Cricetulus griseus: one gene and its partners. The main gene of each other region encodes a partner of the protein of the gene in region 2 in a complex. Links are inferred from orthologs where the notes say so. Each region holds a gene or a part of one and is shown on either strand. Other genes may lie near its edges. The genes, in order: Golga4, Arl1 and Arfip2.

Region 1 (3,745 bases), on a different chromosome or scaffold from region 2:
TTGTCACAAAAAGTAGGTCAGAGTTTACATGCTGCAGTTAAACTGTCTCCTGTAACATCTACCATTCTATGTAAACAATACTTGTCTGCAGCTCTGATACTGTGTACCAATTAGGTCATCTTTGGGCTTTACAACTTCACCTACAGGAGGAATAATATCTACCTCATAGGTTTGTGTGAGGTTAAAATATCTGTTAACTGCTCAATAAGATACCCCGCAGGGACTCAAACCAATGGTGTTTGTTCTTAATGCTGCCTGAAAGATTTATTCAGCCAATTCTTCACCTGCCCCAGAATGCCAACACTAAAACAGCATCAGGGCTAGCAAGACAGCTCTGATGGCAAAATGCTTGAGTTCCATCTCAGAACCCAGGCTGAAAAAGACAAGTGTGGGGGCTGGAGAAATGCTCTTCCAGAAGACCCCAGTTCAATCCCAGGACCCACAGGGAAGCTCACAACTGTCTGTAAGTCCAGTTCCAGGGGACCTTTACACATAAACACTTCCAAGCAAAAACACCAATGCATGTAAAACAAAAATGAATTATTAAAAATAATGAAACACAGGTTGGTGGCACATGCTTGTAATCCCAGTGCTCAGGAGGCAGAGACAGGTGAATCCCAGGGTTTTCAGGTCAGAGAGACCAACCTATTTGGTGACTTCCAGGCCAGGGAGAAACTTTTATATCAAAAAAAAAAAAAAAAAAAAAAAGTTGGGGGAGGGATTCTGGAAAGACGGCTCAGAGGCGATGAGAATTTGTTGCTCTTGCAGAAGGCCAAGCAAGGTTCAGTTCCCAGAACCGACACGACGGCTCACAACCACACATGACTCAAGTTCCTTGAGATACAACAGCCTCTTCTGGCCTCTGTGAGCACTTGGCATGCGCATGGCATCCAGACACACACAGGTGAAACACTCACACAGATAAAAGAATTAAATCCAAAACTGTTTTTAAAATGGTAAAATAAAAAGTACAATGCCTGAGGATTGACGCCACGCTTGTCCTCTGGCCTCCACACCCACACGTACACACACACACCCACATGTACACACACCCACACGTACACACACCCACGTACACACACCCACACGTACACCCACACGTACACACACCCGTACACACACCCACACGTACACACACACACACACACACACACACGTACACACACCCACACGTACACACACACACACCCACACGTACACACACACACGTACACACACACACACACGTACACACACACATACGTATACACACACACATACGTATACACACACACATACGTATACACACACACACACGTACACACACACACACACACACACACACACACTAAAATGAAAACCGTACAACTAAATCTTTTCACATCCTAAACCTTCTCGGAATAAGTTTCTAGAAACAGGATGCCGGGTCGTTTTATATTTACACACCCTTAGTGCTCTCCCCCAATTAGCCAAGACGCCGCCTTTCTTGGAGCACCGACTTTCTAGGGTTCTAGGATCCCTCAAAGGAAGGGAGGGAGGAATCGGTGCTCAACCCACTGAGACTCAGAAAAGCCCGGGGAGTTTCAGCAGCAGCATCGGTGGTGGCGTCGAAACCCTGAGTCCGCTTCTCACACGAACACGCCCCCCTTTCCCTGGACCGAAACACACACGCCCCCTAAAAAGCAGCAAGAGCCGGGCGGCCGCAGGCTCCGTGCCCGCCCGCCGCCCGCCGTCACCCAGGTTCTGCGAAGTGACTAACTCGTGACAGCCTCGGAGGCTGGAACCGGCCCCGGGCGGGCTCCGGCAGGCGAGCGGCTCGACCGTCCGCCCTCGCTGCTCCATCGGGGGTTCGCTCGCAAGCGGGGCACTCGGGGGATCCTGGCCGTCCCGGGCTCCGGGTCCCGCGGCCGGGGGGGGGGTCAGAGGTCACACCCCACGCCGGACTCGAACCCGCCGCGCACCCCATCCTCGGGCCGGGCCGGTCCTAAGCGGGAGCACCGCGAGTAAGTCAGACGTCACGGCGGGGACGGGGGTGTGGGAGTAGCCAGGCCCGGGTCCCCACCGCGCCAGGACGGCCGCAGACCCAGGTCCTGGGGGGCGGAGGTCAAAGGTCACGGAGGAACGTCACCCCCCCCCGGGGCTCGGCGGCTCGGCGGCCGGCACCGGGCGCACCTGGGCAGGAGCTGACGCCTGCGGCGGCTGCAGCTGCTGCTGCTCCTCGCTGATCCTCTGCTTCAGCTTCTTGAACATGGCGCGGCGAGCGGCGAGCGGCCGGCGGCGTCTCTACCCGCGGGCGGCCGGGCCCGGGCCTCGCCGCCTTCCTGTGGAGCTCGCGGGCACCTCGGGGCGCTCGTCCTGCGGGCGTCGGCGTCGCCGCCGCCGCGTCGCTTCTTTCTGGGCGCCACTGGCTGCCCTCGGCGCCCCATCCAGCCCCCGTCAGCGGCGGCGGCGACAACGGCAGCAGGTGAACGCGCCCAGGGCGCCTGCGCGGCCGACGTGGAGCCTGACAAGAGCTGGCTACGGAGCGCCGCGGAGGACAAGAGTGGCAGAGGCGCGGGCGAGCGGGCGAGCGCGGGCGAGCATGCGCGCACGGCCGGGATCCCGCCTGCGCTGACGCCGGCGGAGGCTCTCGGAGCTGCGCAACCCAGCGGGGTGGGGTGGGGTGGGGGGACACCGGTTGAGCACCCAAGTGAAGAAGGCTGGGGTGAGAGAGGGTGGAGCTAGGGAGTCGGGCGTGTGTTCAGTGTGCGTTAGTACGATTACTGTAAGGATTCTCTCTGAGGGCTTTGGGTGGGTGGGTGGGTGGGTGGGTAGTTGCTTGGTTGATTTTAAGAGAAGGTCCTGGGGCTGAGGATGTAGAGTGCTTGCCTACCATACGCAGGAGAGCTTGGGTTCTATCCTCAGCACCGCATACACTGGGTGCGATGGTGTATTCCTGTAAACCCAACATCCAGAGGTGGAGACAGTAGGACCCTAAGTTCAAGGTCATCCTTGGCCACTTAACACTTTAAGGCCAGTTTGAGCCACAATGAGACCCTACCTCAAAAAATAAACAATTTGACCGTGTGTCGGTAGACTGACTTCGAATTTATGAGCTGAAGTGATTTTCCTGCCTCCAGAGTAGCTGCCTGAGGTCTACAGGTCCGAATTCTCAGCCCTTAGTGGTTAATACCTGCGGCTGCACTCCGGAGGAGCCGTCTCCCCACCACCCCAGACACTCCCATCTGCTAGAAAGGCTCCTACACTTGCACGATACAAAATACCCTGTGACCGCTGCTTGTCAATGCCCCGTGTGAAATTCCTCACCACCACTCTGGACTCGGCCCCGTTACTGACTGAATGGCATCCGCTCAGTTCTGATACTTTGGAGAGTACATGAAGATCTGGGCATGCTGACACACACGATTAATCCCAGCACTTGAAAAGCTGAGGCTGTTTGAGCTCTGTGAGTCTAGGCCAGCCAGAGCTACACTACATAGTGAGCTCCTGACCTCAGGCACAGAGAGAGAGAGAGAGAGAGAGAGAGAGAGAGAGAGAGAGAGAGAGAGAGAGAGAGAGAGAGAGAGAGAGAGAGAGAGAGGGAGAGAGAGAGAGACAGAGAGAGAGGAGAGAGAGAGGAGAGAGGGAGAGAGAGAGAGGGAGAGAGGGAAAGACAGAGAGGGAGAGAGAGGAGAGAGAGACAGACAGAGAGAGACAGACAGAGAGAGAGAGAGAGGGAGAGAGAGAGAGAGAGAGAGAGAGGAGAGAGAGAGAGAGAGATTCCACA
Region 2 (3,645 bases):
ACAGGAGAAAAAGCTGGAAGAGTTGCCTATTAGCTGCTATCTAAATGTTATCCCCAAGAAAAATCAACATTGCATCATATGCCAGTGTGGTAATGCACACTGGTCCCACACTAAGGAGGCTGAAGCAGGATCATATCCTGGGCTACATACCAAGACACTGGGGAAGAACAACACTATCCTATAGGAAGCTTCCCATACACGTGCACAGCTGGCTTCAAACACAGACACTTACCATTCCATGGCTTCATCAAGACCAGTGCCTTTGGTTGCTGATGTTTTAAATATTTGCCACTTTCGGTCCTTCAGAGCAGGTAACCCAAGTGCATTTGCCATTTCTGAGGGTGTCATGGCCTGCTCCATGTCCTGCTTATTTGCAAACACCACTAAAATGGCCTTTCTCAGCTCTTCTTCCTAAATAAAATGGAAAATGCTTCATTTACTTTTAATTTGCACCACTGACTTGAGGAAAAACAAAAAATAGTGTTTAAGAATGTGTGTTTGGGGCTGGAGAGATGGCTCAGCGGTTAAGAGCACTGCCTGCTGTTCCAAAGGTCCTGAGTTCGATTCCCAGCAACCACATGGTGGCTCACGACCATCTGTAATGAGATTTGGTGCCCTCTTCTGGCCTACAGGCATACATGCAAGCCGAGCACTGTACACATAATATTAAAAAAAAAAAAAGAATGTGTGTTTGTGTGTCCGTACTCCTATAAACAACTCTAATGAAATTCACTGGGTCACAATAACAACAAAAAGACACGGGCACAGAAGGGAGGCCAGTTGGGAAGAAGGGGTTAGTGGGAATGGAAGGAGAGAGAACAAGGGAAGACAGAAGGGAGTGCATAGAAACGAAATACAGTACGAACACACAGGAAAATGTCAAAGAAAGCCACTACCGTGCACAGTTAACACATGCTAAATAAGGCAGAAGCATTTATACACAGCAGAGTAAGAAGGAAAGAACAGCAATCTTAGCCAGGCAGTGGCAGCGCACACCTTTAATCCCAGCACTCGGCAGGCAGATCTCTGTGAGTTCCAGACCAACCTGGTATACAGAGCATGTGCCAGGACAGCACCCAAAGCCACAGAGAAACCCTGTCTGGGGGGGTGGGGAGGGACGACAAAAAACAAAAACAAAAACAAAAAACCAGCAATCTTGTACTTGGTAGGCTGGGGCAAATGGCTCAAGTCTGAAGCTAATCAGAATATATGACAGGCAAGTTCAGACCCACAAAGGCTAAAAGACCCTATCTCAAGAAAAAAAAAAAAGAAGAAGAAGAAGCACTAGTCAATCATCACTGATTTCTGCTCAGTCCTGATTTCCTGTTTTATTTGGTGACATTTAGCACATCTGAACTTGGAGGGTTTTGAGTTACACTTAAACCTATCTTTGCTTTTGTAAATCTTTCCATTGATTCAGAAAGGCTTTCCCAATCTCGTATTTTACACTTACTCACACATTCCTGTGGCTGATTTCCATATTTTACACATTATTTAATTTAGAATGTATTTACATATACAAAGAAGGTAAAAACCTAAAGTGCTTTGTGTTTATGTCTTAATGTCAACAGTACAAGCTGGCACTAGACCTATACTTTACACAACAGTGTCTGTTGATGAACACAAAAGCTCTTTCCTAACAACGTGACTTCCAGTTCTTGCTCTGTGAACTTTTCTTCTCTCCAGTAAGGGAATACACCAAGGTCTTGTGCAAGCTAGGTATGTGCTCTGCTGAGCTGCACCCACAGTGGGTTTTTTTGTTTGTTTTGTTTAATTAGAAATAAGCTTCTTTTATACATGTCAATCCCAGTTCCCTCTCCCTCCCCTCCTTCCTTACCCCCCCACCCCCATCCCAACCCCTTTCTGCTCCACAGGGAGGGCGAGGCCATCCATGGGGGATCTTCAAAGTCCCACAGTGGTTTTGAGTAACACTTTGAACTATGAAGTCCAGGATGGTCTCATGATCCTCTGCCTCTGCCTCCCAAGTACTAGAATACAGCATGTAAGTACAGGCCCGTCTCAGTGAGGTTGCAAATGACTCCTAATAATCTCACATGACTCAAGATTAAAAAATGAAGTTAGTAATCCATTTCCCTGAAATACTTCATATAATGTGAACCAGGACTAAAGTTGCTGTTTTAAAAACCCATTATATGTAACAACAATTAATGAAAACAGAGGCCATGAGTTTTATAGAGAGAAGTATAAGGAAGGTCTTAGAGGGAAGAAGGGAAAGGAGAAACCCTTTTCTTTTTTTTTTTGGGGGGGGGAGTCCGAGACAGGGTTTCTCTGTGGCTTTGGAGGATGTCCTGGAACATTTTTCAGTGACCTAATGAGTTTAATTGGACTTACTTACAGAATAATGGGTGCTTAGCAGTAGCTACACTACTGAAGAAAACATACTCCTTTCACTAGCAACCATCAACTGAGGACAAATCCTCAGGGAGGATGGGGCCTCTTGGATGATGTAATTATAACCTCAAAAAAATAATTTTAAAAATGTAAAAAATACATCTCTGGAACCTACATAAAGGAAGATGAGAACCAACTCTATGAAGTTGTGCTCTGATCTCCATGTAGAAGCATGTACATATATGCAAGCACATACACACATACACACTAATATTTTTTTTTTCTTTTTAAGTTGACTCAGATTAAAAGAGCTCTGAACTTTCAAGGAGTAATGAAATCTACCTTACAGGAAGTTTCAGGGTTGGATTTTTATTCCATCCATTTTCCAACTATATTTCTGGAATAGGAAGTAACGTGTACTTTTTAAAAAGAAAAGAAAGGGAGGAAGGGCAACAGACAGACAAAATGGGATAGAGGGATGACTCTGGTTAAGAGCACACACTGCTCATGCAGGGAACCCCCGTTTGATTCCCACACTCACACAGCAGATTACCACCATCTACAATCCCTGGTTTAGGCACATCATCTTCCAGCCTCTTCAGGCACCAGGCACACAGGTGGTGTAGAACCATACATGCAGCCAAACACACACACACAGGAAAATATTTTTAAATAAATCTTTAAGGGGGTAGGGAGAGTTAACAAGTGGTTAAGAGCACTTGGAGCTCCTGCAAAGGACCCAAGTTCGACTTTTAGCACCCACACATTGGCTCACAATCACCTATACCTCCACTCCCAGGAAATCTGATACGCTCTTCTGACCTCCACAGACACCAGGCATGTACATGGTACTCACACATAATGCAAACAAAACATTCATACAAAGAAAGAAATAAAACCTTAAAAAACAAATAGGAAAATGGAGGAAAACTGTTCCTGCATATTTTTTTAAATACCATTGTACTAGATAATATATACAAGAAAAAAGTAAACAAATGTAAATGATTCCTCTAGTTCCTCATTTAAATGTTCAATGTTAACTTTTAAATTTTTGCTTACCTCCAACATTGCAACTAACTCTGACTTGGAAATGCCAATTCGGTCTCGGTCACAACTGTCAACTACATAGATGACTGCGTCTGTGTTTGAATAGTAACATCTCCAGTATGGCCTAAAGAAAATTCAAAAATGGAAAACCCATGATCCCTTGAAAATATCTTAACATGTTAATTTACATGCTGGACTGGGTCAATGACAATGATTACATGCCAGCCCCGCTCCTCTCCTGTTCAG
Region 3 (3,745 bases), on a different chromosome or scaffold from region 2:
AGTGGGTGGGAGGTCAGAAATCTAAACTCCACCCCAACCCCGACAAGTAACTACTCCAACACCCCCATTCTCTTAGTCATAGCAAAAGACTATGTATTAAGATCTGGGGAAAAGGAAAAGGTACCCATGGAGAGTTTCTGGGAAGAGGCACTCGACTCTTACCTTATATGTGTTGATGCCCCATTTCTTGACGATGTCAAACTTCTCTCCGGCGATGCCCCGGGCCACCTCATCACCAGGGCCAGAAGGTGAGGTGCTGTGAGATGGATGGCGGCCAGACCCTAAAGGATCAAGTTCTCTAACACCAATTTCTCTCACATACAATCAGATACTTCTGTGACCTCACTTCCTTCCCTCCCAGCACATGAAATGACCTCTCTAAAAGAGGAAATCTAGATAACTGAATTCTTCTGCTCATTAGGGGGAACGGGGACTTAGGTCCCGAAAACCAAAGCAACTCAATGTATGTATTTGGCATTCCTGGGGTCGTGTAGGAGTGTTGTTGGGTGGACAGGGAAGGAAGAAACAGAAGCAAACATGATGAGTGGGACTGGAAGGGTCAAAGCTGGTGGGCACAGAAAACAGGGAAGCTGGTTTGTATTTCCAAGTAGAATTTTAGTCAGTATAAGACTCTTATAAAACTCTGAGAAGCTTCACAAAGTTGTAAATCAGCCTTAAGCTGCAGAGCTCTTGTGACTTATAGGTCTTAACTTGGCTCAGGTGGTGGCACCAGGGAAAGAAAAGACAATTGAGAAAGCTAGAATCTAAATGGCAAGTGGGAAGCAGATGATGAGCTCAGAGAGCTGATCTGGGATTGGACAGTCTATGGATTTCACACTAGCAGTTCTCAAGTTTCTCCAATCCATGATTCACGCTTTCCTATGTGTTCTATGTGCCTCCTAGTCTCCCTCCCACTCAAGCCTCCTGTCTCTTATCATTCATACCTGTGGGGATGAGTCCATCACCAGAGCCCCCATAGCCACCAGACACAATGCTAGTTTCATTGAGGTTGGGTCCTGACACCATCACCTGCTGGAGGTCCTATAGATCAGAGAAGAGGGGGCACTTCAGGAACATGGGGGTGGCTGAAATATTTTGGGGATAGAGACAGTATATAGTAAAGTCTGTATAGAATCATAATGACGACTTGAAAACTATAAGGAGGACTAACTAAATGAAGTCTATTGGGATGGGAAAAGCGAAACATTCAAGAGTCAGGATTGCTAAATTGAAACAATTAGAAGAATCAAACAGAAGCACCTGCTCCAGCCCATCGTCTTCAGGAAGCTGCCCAGCTTCACCATTTCCATGGATTGGGATCTCCATTGTGGCTGCCTTCCCTAGGATCCCGTCCGTCATGGCTAGGGAAGGTACTGGAGTCAAGGTCTCCACCCCAGCACGCTGTAAAGCCCAACACAGACAATTCTGGAAACTGGCCAGCACTCCAGAACAAGGAGGCCTTCCCTGTGTTCTAATAGGTTTCAGGGGTTGTCTGTTAGGACTTGGGTGTCCCTGGAGATCAGCCCCTACTTTCCTGGAGATGTGTATTTCTTCTCTTCCAAGTACATTATTTCTACAGATGCATGTATACCAAAGCCTTGGGTGTCTTCTCACAAACCCCAACCTCACCTTTAGTAACCTTTACACATTCAGTCACTCAACAAACACTTAGTGAGTGCCTACTATGCGTCAGATACTGAGGCAATGGGATTACAGCAGTGAGGGCCAGAGGGGAATGTCTGTGCTCTTTGGGAACTTGGCCCTGCATAGGCATGTTTACCAGAAGGCAAAACCCTTTCCTAGACTCGGATGCTCACTTGCCACTCAAGCATGCTCTGCAATCCCTGGTCTTTCAAATCCTTTGATGTTCCTTCCCCTCTTCCTTCAAATGGTCTCTCCTTTCTCCATCTCATGCACCTGCCTCCCTCAGGCCCTCCCCACCAGGCCTTAGTTGAAGCAGCTGGTGTGTTCCCGGTGTCAGTTAAAAGCTTCTTTCCCAGGACACAGGCAGTCCCTTCCAAAGTCAGTTTATGCCTTCCAGATGTGAGAGGTCCCCTCCACCACCCCCCCACACACCTGGGCATCAGGTGTGTCCTCATCCTTGCCAAGGGCTCAGGGCATCTTGCCCTCCGCACAGGTTCGTGCATTCAACTTCCTTTCGTACAAGTATGTCCTTCTCACCTGGGCCGGGCCACTCTTCCCCTCAGGGCGCGAGGGCCGGACCGCGCGGGGACCTCGGGTTCCAGTTCCCGTCGCGATCTTAGCAGCAGGTCAGAGATTCGGCGGAAGTGACGTGCCCTCTGGGCAGAAGAAGCCGGCCACGTCGCAGAGCAAAAGGGCGGAGGTGACGTTAGCAGACATGGGCTGGGCGATACTGGAACCACGCCTTGAAGCTCTTGGTGACTAGGGAGAATTTACTTCCGGGGTGACTCCGCGCCCCCAGGGAGGAAGTAAAGTGGGCTGCGTGCCCCGAGCGTGATGGAGCAGCAGCAGCAGCAACTAAGAAACGTGAGTAAGAGCTAAGTTGTTCTCGGGGTTAGACGTGCGGTTTGTTTTCTGGGGTACATGCAAGAACCCCCAGTGGGGAAGGCAGGCTGCACTGCGCACGCCAGGAACCCTCAGCGGTGGTGAAGCCTTGATCCGCTTTTCTCTTAGTTGCGAGATTTCCTGTTGGTCTACAATCGGATGACAGAACTGTGCTTCCAGCGCTGTGTGCCCAGCCTGCACCACCGAGCTCTGGACGCTGAGGAGGTGGGGACTGTGGGGACCCCAGAGGTTGACAACGTGACGTGTCCACCTCCCACCCCCCGTTTGCATCTCGGTCTCCCATGACCTCACCCCTAGGCTGGGGCCCCGGAGAGGAGGGCTTGACAGGACCCCTTTTGGTCTCTGCTTACCTCTGTCTTCCTTCCAGGAGGCCTGTCTACACAGCTGTGCTGGGAAGCTCATCCATTCTAACCACCGCCTCATGGCCGCTTACGTCCACCTCATGCCCGCCCTTGTCCAGCGCCGCATCGCGGACTACGAGGCTGCCTCGGCCGTGCCAGGTGTTACTGCAGAACAACCCAGAGACTCGCCATCAGGCAGCTAGCCATCGCCTGCCCCAGGAGAGAAGGTGCTTGGATGGGCTCCTCTATGAACCTTGGGCTTGTCGAAATTTGTACAGAAAGATTGAGCCTGAAAGCTGGGCACTATTGCTCCTTTTCTTGGAGCCAATAAACCGGGTTTTTACTCTGGTTGATTTTCTGGGCAGGAATTTATTTATGTCCACTTATTGGTACCAACCTTTATTCTGCCATTTAGTGCCTATCTTCTCCCCTCAGCCCTGGCAGTTGAGAAATTGCCTTCTGTAATGTAGTAGGACAAACTCAGCATTCTCAGATCCCCAGCAAAAACATAGTTTTAAGGTTAGTAATAGCAATGGGAAATTGGTTCCAAAAGGGGAGCTCTCAGTGGCTATCCTTGAGCCTAACTCAAATGCCTGAATATATATTGCATAATAACTAGTTTTCTTCTGAGCTGTAATACAAAAAGAATTGTGCTGCATCTAGGGGAAGAATGTGATATCAGACAACAAGAGGAAGAAGAAAACAGCACCACAATAGGCTTTAGCCACCAATTCTTAGGAGATCAAAGATAAGCCTGTAAGAATGTGGGAATATTGTCTAGAATTTCAATCATTTCCCCAGTTTACCATCTTAAATATTTCCTGTCTTTGTGAAATCAGCAATAAGGACTTTAAACA

What was found.
Region 1: the proteins of Arl1 (region 2) and Golga4 are in contact, whole or in part, in a crystal structure (PDB 1UPT), measured with the Homo sapiens proteins. The link is inferred for Cricetulus griseus from reciprocal best matches to the Homo sapiens genes ARL1 and GOLGA4. Residues at the interface, in NP_001168.1 of Homo sapiens: Ile49, Gly50, Phe51, Gln64, Trp66, Ser73, Ile74, Pro76, Tyr77, Cys80, Tyr81, Ser83, Glu115; in NP_002069.2 of Homo sapiens: Thr2173, Glu2174, Glu2176, Tyr2177, Lys2180, Val2181, Glu2184, Glu2190, Thr2193, Lys2196, Val2197, Thr2200, Val2201.
Region 3: the proteins of Arl1 (region 2) and Arfip2 are in contact, whole or in part, in a crystal structure (PDB 4DCN), measured with the Homo sapiens proteins. The link is inferred for Cricetulus griseus from reciprocal best matches to the Homo sapiens genes ARL1 and ARFIP2. Residues at the interface, in NP_001168.1 of Homo sapiens: Glu17, Arg19, Gln38, Ile46, Ile49, Gly50, Phe51, Asn52, Val53, Glu54, Thr55, Gln64, Trp66, Ile74, Tyr77, Cys80, Tyr81; in NP_001363487.1 of Homo sapiens: Phe205, Thr212, Lys216, Thr217, Asp220, Asp278, Ile281, Lys282, Phe285, Leu286, Glu288, Asn289, Lys292.

Annotation. Positions count from the first base shown.
Region 1 is NC_048597.1:225,566,211-225,569,955, reverse strand, and holds the start of Golga4 (golgin subfamily A member 4), read right to left. Parts: upstream 2,448-3,745; 5' UTR 2,230-2,447; coding exon 2,152-2,229; intron 1-2,151. UniProt on the Homo sapiens protein: Involved in vesicular trafficking at the Golgi apparatus level. May play a role in delivery of transport vesicles containing GPI-linked proteins from the trans-Golgi network through its interaction with MACF1. Involved in endosome-to-Golgi trafficking.
Region 2 is NW_023276806.1:154,781,033-154,784,677, reverse strand, and holds part of Arl1 (ADP-ribosylation factor-like protein 1), read right to left. Parts: intron 3,524-3,645; coding exon 3,412-3,523; intron 412-3,411; coding exon 233-411; intron 1-232. UniProt on the Homo sapiens protein: GTP-binding protein that recruits several effectors, such as golgins, arfaptins and Arf-GEFs to the trans-Golgi network, and modulates their functions at the Golgi complex.
Region 3 is NC_048596.1:94,063,186-94,066,930, reverse strand, and holds the start of Arfip2 (arfaptin-2), read right to left. Parts: upstream 2,332-3,745; 5' UTR 2,182-2,331; exon of another isoform or gene 2,077-2,181; intron 1,402-2,076; 5' UTR 1,360-1,401; coding exon 1,261-1,359; intron 1,042-1,260; coding exon 945-1,041; intron 282-944; coding exon 163-281; intron 1-162. Other genes in the region: Timm10b (mitochondrial import inner membrane translocase subunit Tim10 B), read left to right, coding at 2,479-2,508, 2,656-2,751, 2,915-3,091. UniProt on the Homo sapiens protein: Plays a role in constitutive metalloproteinase (MMP) secretion from the trans Golgi network. May have important functions during vesicle biogenesis at certain cargo subdomains, which could be predominantly utilized by secreted MMPs, such as MMP7 and MMP2.